Rattus norvegicus: one gene and its partner. Each later gene encodes a partner of the first gene's protein in a complex. Links are inferred from orthologs where the notes say so. Each region holds a gene or a part of one and is shown on either strand. Other genes may lie near its edges.

The links.
Region 2: Ppp4r2 (region 1) and Ppp4c share a complex: the UniProt entries of both Homo sapiens proteins name them as parts of the PP4 complex. The link is inferred for Rattus norvegicus from reciprocal best matches to the Homo sapiens genes PPP4R2 and PPP4C.

Annotation. Positions count from the first base shown.
Region 1 is NC_086022.1:135,031,414-135,035,225, reverse strand, and holds part of Ppp4r2 (serine/threonine-protein phosphatase 4 regulatory subunit 2), read right to left. Parts: intron 1,603-3,812; coding exon 1,432-1,602; intron 1-1,431. UniProt on the Homo sapiens protein: Regulatory subunit of serine/threonine-protein phosphatase 4 (PP4). May regulate the activity of PPP4C at centrosomal microtubule organizing centers.
Region 2 is NC_086019.1:190,827,158-190,831,656, reverse strand, and holds the start of Ppp4c (serine/threonine-protein phosphatase 4 catalytic subunit), read left to right. Parts: upstream 1-1,409; 5' UTR 1,410-1,561; intron 1,562-1,595; exon of another isoform or gene 1,596-1,760; 5' UTR 1,761-1,824; coding exon 1,825-1,922; intron 1,923-4,499. UniProt on the Homo sapiens protein: Protein phosphatase that is involved in many processes such as microtubule organization at centrosomes, maturation of spliceosomal snRNPs, apoptosis, DNA repair, tumor necrosis factor (TNF)-alpha signaling, activation of c-Jun N-terminal kinase MAPK8, regulation of histone acetylation, DNA damage checkpoint signaling, NF-kappa-B activation and cell migration.

The DNA of each region.
Region 1 (3,812 bases):
CGTTCTGAAAACTGGAATTAAAATACTTATGGCTCAAAGATGAAAAACACCTTAAGAGCAATTATGCTTAAGTGTGCTTAGGCATTAATGACTGTTCAAATCATCTGAAGTAGATGAATACATGTTTTAACAGGTTAAAAATTAAAAATATTTTAGCCTTATCCAATAACCTACTTATCTGTTATCTATTCTAACTTTAATACAATTAAGAATATTTGCTTTTACTAATTTATAAATTAGCTCAAGTCACAATGAAATTGTATAATTCACTTTAACTCATGTATCTGAAATGGCTATGCATTTTGTGTGTGTACACATACATACAGACACAAGAATTCTACAAAGGAAGTCTGTTTATCCTGCATATACCCAGTTCAAAAATAAATCTTATGCAACATATAGCAAACATAACATGTGGCTTTTTCCTGGTGCTTACTTTCTTAAGAGTCCTAACTAAACTCATAGTGACCAGGCACGCATGTGGTAAATAACTAAGGTGCATGGTCAAGATAAGTCTCCTTCCATTCCAGAGCCAGGGAAAACTAATGTGACGAAACACACCAAGCATAGCATCTCCTGGAAAAAGTAGTTTTATTAATAGACCCAATATCAAAGCATAAGCTTCTGATATCGTAGGCAAACCCCTAAACTTAAAATAATAAGCAGCTGAGAATGTTGGTACACACCTTTAATCCCAACAAAGGATAAAGAGGCAAGTGGATCTCTGTGAATCCAAAGCCAGTCAGGGCTACATAGTAAATAAGACCCTGTTCCAAATACCAGCCCCCAAAACAATCAGGCTATTTATGGATTAAAAACATAGAATTAAAACTTCTTCACAAAACCTACCAGTAAGCAGGAACTTTATTAACATAAACCAAGTCACTGTATTTCATACTGTTATCACACACTTCAAATCGCTAGTGCCAATGCAGTGTGCTCAGCAGTTCACCCTCACAAACGCGTCATCGTCCCTTGAGGACGTAAACACGATACTGTGAAGCACAGCGACGCTGTTATAGCATCACACTCATTTAGTGCTCCTGGTGTTTTGAATGTTTTACAAAAGGTTAAAAGTGTTGAGTTATTGGAAGAAAGGAAAACACATAAACTCTAAAATAAACCTCTTATAAATAAGTCTTCACCAAGTATCAAGATAATAGTAAATAAACAAAAGAAATATTAAAACATAATTTGATATAGGATATCACTGCTAACACGCATGTTTAAAATCTGAACACCCTCGAAATTCATAAGAACAGTTCGAGTTTTTTTCAAGGTTGTAAACATTTAAAATATTTATGAACCAAAATTTGGCAAACACTAAAGATAAAAGTCAATTATCAATCTGATATAGCAAAACTTAAGAAAAAAAATATTTGTTGTTAAAATTAACTCTTGAAAATATTATCACTATCATTATGTGCATACCCATTAAATCCAGTGACAATTTTCAGTATTCTTTCCTTCATTTCATCAAAGGGAATATATTCAACATTAGGATTGGGAGGACCTCTTGGTTCAGGAGCTGAAGTTCTAAAATCATCCATCACTTTCTCCAGTTTGAAAATGAAATAGCCTTTAAATTGGGACCACTGAATCCTATAAAAAAAAGTCACAAAATATTAATAATTACTTAACACTAAACACACAAATCAGACATTATAAATGCGTTCATAATTTTCATACTATAATGCTTATATGGACTAGGAAAGTCTCTTACCACTACAAGTACAGAATATGCCAGGTTTAGTGGTATACACCTATAATCCCAGCACTTGGGAGACTAAGGCAGGGGGATCTCTAAGAGTTTATGGGCAGTTTTGTCTACAATGTAAGTGCCACACAGTGAGATCTTGACTCAAAAATATAGACAAATAACTACATTAAGCCAAAATAACTTTAATTTCACCCCCACTCCTTACACTTTCAGTCAATTGTCATTTGAGGTACTCAGGGTGCTGGTCCTAGCCTGTCTGACAAAGTAAGTAAAGCACACAACTGCCTAAGCTAGGAAGAAGAGCTCAAGCATGAGGACAAGAGGTTGGATTCCCAGAACCAGGTACCAGGTACCAGGTAGGTACCAGTGCTTAGGTGAAGACGGGATCCCTGAAGCCAGCTCACTAGCCTGACAAGCTATGAGCAAGCTCTGGGTTTAACAAGAGACACTGACTCTACTGAACAAATATGGTAGAGAAATCAATTCCAACGCCATCTTTAGATACACATGCACACAAGCACACAAATATTGCATGGGGAAAATATGCATTTTCCATCTCTATTCATTGTTACGTGGCAATTTCCTCTAAGATAAAATGCTCCATCTTTGAAGGAAGCTGTTCAGACTCAGGAAATTAAGGAATGCCCGTAAGACCCAGTCAGTAAACAACTCAGCTGTTTCATAAGGACCTGGGATCCTGACACTGACCAACTCCCTGCAACCTGCTTTCCCAAGCTTATATAATCTGTAAGAACTGTTACTTTTAGTACGTATGGGTATTTTGTCTGAATGTTTGCCTGTAAACTTTCTGGGTGCCTGGTGCCCAAAGAGGCCAGAAGAGGGTGTCAGATTTCCTGAAACTGAAGTTTTGCTGACAGTTGTGAGTTGCCATATGGGTGTCAGGAATCAAAACTCAGGTCCTCTGGAAGAGCAACAAGAATTCTTAACCACTAAGCCATCTCTCTAGCACTGTCTCACTCCAAGGCCACAGTGCCTGGAAGACACTCCCTCTGACATGCTTGGCTAACTACAAGCAGCACAGTACATTCCTCATTTCCAGTTCCCCCGTAACCAGCTACCCATCCCAGAGTGAGCTTTTGGTGAAAAAGCATTTCTGTTCTTGTAAGAAACCCTTCATCCACACTTCTGTAAGGACCATCAGTGCATTTGAATACTTGGTCTTTAGGGAGTGATTCCACTTGACAGGATTTAGGAAGTGTGGCCTTGAGGGAGTAGGTGCAGCCTTGCTGGCAGAAGTATGTCACTGGGGATGGGCTTTGGAGTTTCAAAAGCTCCAGCCAGGCCCAGTGACTGTCTCTTCCTTGCTGCCTGTAGATGGTGACATATAGCTTTCAGTTCCTTCTCTAGCACTCTGCCTGCCTGCGTGCCATCATGCTAATAATGGATAAATTTCTAAACCAGTGTTCTCAACTTCTGAGTCCAGACCCCTTGGGGACTAAACATCCTTTCACAAGGGTCCAGTCAGCTAAGACCATCAGAAAACAGATGTTTACAACTCATAACAGTAGCAAAATTACAGCTATGAAGCAGGAAGAAAACAATTTTATTGTTGGGGAATCAGTTTTACATGAGGAACTGTATTGAAGGGTCACAGCACTAGAAAAGTTAAGAACTACTACCTAAAGTGTAAGTGTAAGCAAGCCCTAAATACTTTCCTTTATAGGAATTGTCATGGTCTTGGTGTCTTTCACAGCAATAGAACATTGACTAAAACAACCAGTAAATGTAAACGGAGCCAGTGCTCACCAAGCTGGACTTTGGTGGCGGTATCCTTTACTTAGGTCTGACACTGGTTCCTAATCAAGCATGAGTCAAGGTTCGTTCATATCCCCTAGGAATAGAACCAGACCTTTTTATCCTCCCCTTACGCTTCACCATTAGTGTAAGAAAAAAAGTAAAGACGATACCTGAGCAAACAGTCTAAGTTCTAGGAGACACAAAAGTTAGGGGTAGCTCCTATTTTCTTGTGCAGACAGAAATTTCATGTAAGTTCACTGTTTAATATAATTATAAAAAACAGCAATAATTCGCAATGGCATACATAAAAATGCTAGACATACAACTCTCTAGC
Region 2 (4,499 bases), on another chromosome or scaffold:
AGGCTCTGGTTCCCTCCCAGCACTGCAAGGAAAAATTAAGTCCCTAGTTAGCCTTGCTGTCTAGAATTCTGTAGGCCACATTGGCCTTGAACTCTCGAGATCCGCCTTCCTCTGCTTCCCAAGTACTGGAATGAACATGTTCTAATTACTCCTTAGCTTCTATGAGACAATCTTTTCAAAAATTTATTTTATGTACATTATTATTTTAACTATGAATATGTGAGGGTGTTGTATCCCCTGACCAGTAGTTAAAATTGTGAGCTGCCATGTGGGTGCTGGGAATTGAACCTGGGTGGTTGGCTAGAAGAGCAACCAGTGTTAACCACTGAGCCATCTCTCCCACCCCTTAAAAGACGATCTTAAAGCACATAAAACTGTTCAAAATTAAGAGGGACAATAGAATATTGAGGAATATGGTGAGCAGAAGAGATTAATAACCTACTCTGCCTACAGCAAAAGGCAAAGAGAAGGAAGAGGAGTACATGTACTGTGAATTTGGAGAGTGTCAGGGTCTTATATTTTGAGTTTCAGCAACAGTAAATGAAACGTGAAAGCCAGGCTTGAAAAACCACTTTTCCTGGATTCATGTTTGAACCTTGGTTGACGTGAGCAAGCTAGTCTTTGAACCCATCCATTGCCACCTTCAAGGAATATGTTCAGGCAATAGGAAGTAATGCTGGGTGTGGTTGCTTAACATCTGGGCTGAGATTCGCTGTGAAATCTGGGCTATTCTGAGCTACAGTGAAACCCTGCCAAGAAAAAAATGTCAACTATTTTGGAATTAAGGGAGTCAAACAAGCTTGGTGTCCAGAGAGTGGGCACTTTCCCCCAATTAAATTTAAACCTCTGTGTTTTCTCTCATCACCATATGGGTCCTGGGGATCCAAATCAGGTCAGTCGGGCTTGGTGGCAAGTTCTTTTATCAGACATATAATCTTGTTGTTTTTTTGGTTTTTTTTTTTTTTCTGTTTGCTCATTTGCTCTGTAGCTTTGACAGCCTAGAATCCACGATCCAGCCTTAGCCTCCTAAATTCTGGGATTACATATAGGTGTGCTACCATGTCTGGCTCAGGTTCGGAGTTCCTCCATGGCAAGGTTTCTCTGGGACTGTGGCAAGAAATGTGGACTAGAATAGGCCCATTCATTGAACAACTATTTACGCCTATCTGCAATGCTTGGCCTTACTCTAAACACCGGAGAAGCAATGATGAACAAGGCAGTTTTATCCGTTAGATCTGTAATAGAAGCAAGATAGAAAGCAGCCAAGGGAAAACTGTAACGTGAGGCGAGAAGCCTACCGGAGCTCACATGACCTGGTGTATATAACTGAAGTACAGCTATACTAGCCTCCAGCTCACTTTGCCCGCCCACTTCCGGCTCCCTCGTTTCTCCTTCCCGATGCCTCGAAAGAGGCGTGACTTGTATATGTCACTTCCGGCGCGCGCGAGAACAGGTTTCCCTTTGCTTCCGCAGCGAGGCCGGAAGTAGAAGCGGCGGTGGCGGAGGCCCAAAGCGGAGGGAAGTGGGGAGTCTGAGAGACTCAGCTGGAGTCTCAGCGGCGGTAATTGTCCGAGGCCCCTCTAGGCCACCGTCCTTAGCGCGGGCCCGCGGGGTTCGACGGGAGTTGGCGGGGTGCGGCCAGGGCAGCGGGACGCGGAGGGTCCTGGACCGCCGTGAGGGGAGGGGGGGGCGGTCCCAGAATCGAGTCCCCCCTCCCGCACGGACCCTCTGATTGGCGGGCTCGCCTTCGCTTTTCCCAGGAGACCCCTGTGCGGTCCGGAGGGGGCGCCAGCCCCGACTCTGACCCGCGCCGGGGGGTGGGCCATGGCGGAAATCAGCGACCTGGACCGGCAGATCGAGCAGCTGCGGCGCTGCGAACTTATCAAAGAGAGCGAAGTCAAGGCCCTGTGCGCTAAGGCCAGGTAAGCCCGCAGGAGGGAGGCCAACCCGTGGCTCAGGGGTTTCGTCTGGGCGAACTCAGCTGAGAACTTAGGGTTTGTCATATCCCGGAAGCGTTCCCGGAGAGATGTCCCAAGAGCCACTTCCCACCAGGAACCATGGGGTCGGCTATATGTGTGTTTCTAGTGGAGTAAGAGCGAGTGGCAGGAAGTTCTAGGAAACTCAGGGAAAACGGCTTGCTCTGCTGGGGCGAAAGAGAAAGTTTCTTGGAGGGGCTGAGTTTTGGGACATGTCTTGAAGAATGAGGAGCTCGTTCAAGGCAAGAAAACAAAACGTGATTTGCGAAAGTCTCTCAATCTCATCAATCCTTAAAAGAGAAAGTAGTTTCGTGTCCAGTTTAACAAACAAGGACTACAATTGTTCAAAAGTACCAGCAAGGAAGGAGTGGAATCTGAAGCCAGTTCTCTGACTACAGATCCTTTTAGTTATTCTGGAAGATGAAGTCGAGCCAATTTTGTGTTCAGTTAAGATCCCAAGGAAAACAATTAATAAGCTAGAATAGCACATAATGAGTCTTAGACTAGCTTGGTTTACTGAGTTGAGGCCTTTTAAAAAAAGTAAGATTAAAAAAAAATACAGATCACAGCCTCAACACAGTAGTAATCCTAAGCACTTGGGAGGCAAAGAGAGAATGAGGGGTTTAGGGTTATCCTCAGCTAGGTCAGGGCCACCACATGAGACTCTGGCTCAGAAAGTGAAGCCAAGAAACAGTGATGAGGATATGGAGAGAGGCAGTGTTTTCTGGGAAGTAGAGGAAGTTGTAAATCAGCATCCCAGTTTGGGGGTGCAATGACTGTGGCTTTGAATCTGAGCGCTGGCACTCTAGGTGGTGACTTGGAAATGTCTAGGACTCAACAAAGTGGAACAAGTTGTGTTCAGTAAAATGGTTGTGACCATTCAGTGAATCTGAGCTGGAAGTGAACTCAGCACGGTGTTTGGGTACTCTAAGTTATGAGATGGTGTTTTTATGCTGGAAAGGACAATAACGGTGTATTCAAAGATTGAAGCTTGGGAGGGGGGCGTTTTTTGTTTTTGTTTTTTCTGAGACAGGGTTTCTCTTTGTAACCTTGCCTTGTCCTAGAACTCACTTTGTAGACCAGGCTGGCCTTGAACTCAAGAGACCCACTTGCCTCTGCCTCCCAAGTGTTGGGATTAAAGACATGTGCTACCACCACCGGGTGACCCAGGTGCTTCTTAGGGTAGACCTTGAAAGATATATTCTTTTTTTTTTCTTTAAAGATGTATTTATTTATTATATTTATATGAATAACACTGTAGCTGTCTTCAGACACACCAGAAGAGGGCATTGAATCCCATTAGAGATGGTTGTGAGCCACCATGTGGTTGCTGGGATTTGAACTCAGGACCTCTGGAAGAGCAGTCAGTGCCCTTAACCACTGAGCCATCTCTCCAGCCCGAAAGATATATTCTTGACCAGCTGACAGAACACAGTGAGGAGTAGTCGAGCAGGGTAGGAGTAAATGTGTAGGCAATAGTTGAGGCTTGTTCCGGCTCCTCTGGAAACTGTTTCAGTGTGGCTTCCACCCTCTTAGTAGACAGTAGCCTGGTCCTCACTCTTGCCCACTAGTCCTGTGAGGCTGGGAGAGTTATGTGTGTATGCCTGTCTGTCTGTCTGTCTGCCCATGTAGCCCCAGCTGGCTTTGAACTCAGAGATCCATCTGTCTCTGTTTCTCAAATGATTCTTTCTTTTTACAGAGTAGGAAGCCATGACTTCTAGATACCAGTGTCTTGATGCAGGCTACCCATTGAGGCTGTGACAGCTGGTGTCCTAGTTTACTTTCTCTTGCTGAGCTGCATCTCTAGCCCTGTTTGGTTTGAGGTCTTTGTTTTGGAGACGGGATCTTACTGTCTCTTAGGCTGATCTGGAGCATGGAATCTTTTGTCTCTGCCACCATGCCATTGTGCCTGACTGGTTGAGGTTGTGTTTATTTTCTTAGACAGGATGCTCACATCTTAGGCTGGCCTTGAACTTGCTATATAGCCAAGCATAACCTTGATCTTTCTGACTTACATACCAAGTACTGGCATTCCTGGTGTGTGTGTTCCTGGTATTGATTTGAGGCTGTATTGCTCCTCTGGAAATTGGATTCTCGGGTTCAGCAAGTTTCCAGCTTGATCTTGACGCTATTCTTGAAGGAGGTCTTTGGGGGAAATCATCATAGGGGTAGGGTTAGAAAAGACAGTGCTGGTGTTGGGGATTTAGCTCAGCGGTAAAGCCCTTGCCTAGGGAGCGCAAGGCCCTGGGTTCGGTCCCCAGCTCCGAAAAAAAAAAAAAAGAAAAGAAAAGACAGTGCTGAGTTCAGTCAGAGAAGACATTGTTTGAAGAACCCACAAAGTAGCAAAAAGAAAAGCTGTACCAGAGCCCATTCCTTATGTTGTAGATGCTGGTTACAGTGCTGCATCCTTTAATCCCAGTACACATGAGACAGACAGACAGGCAAATTTCCTGAGCTTGAGACTAGCCTGGGTTACACATCCAGGCTAGACAAGGATACATAATGAGGCTCTGTCTCCAAAAC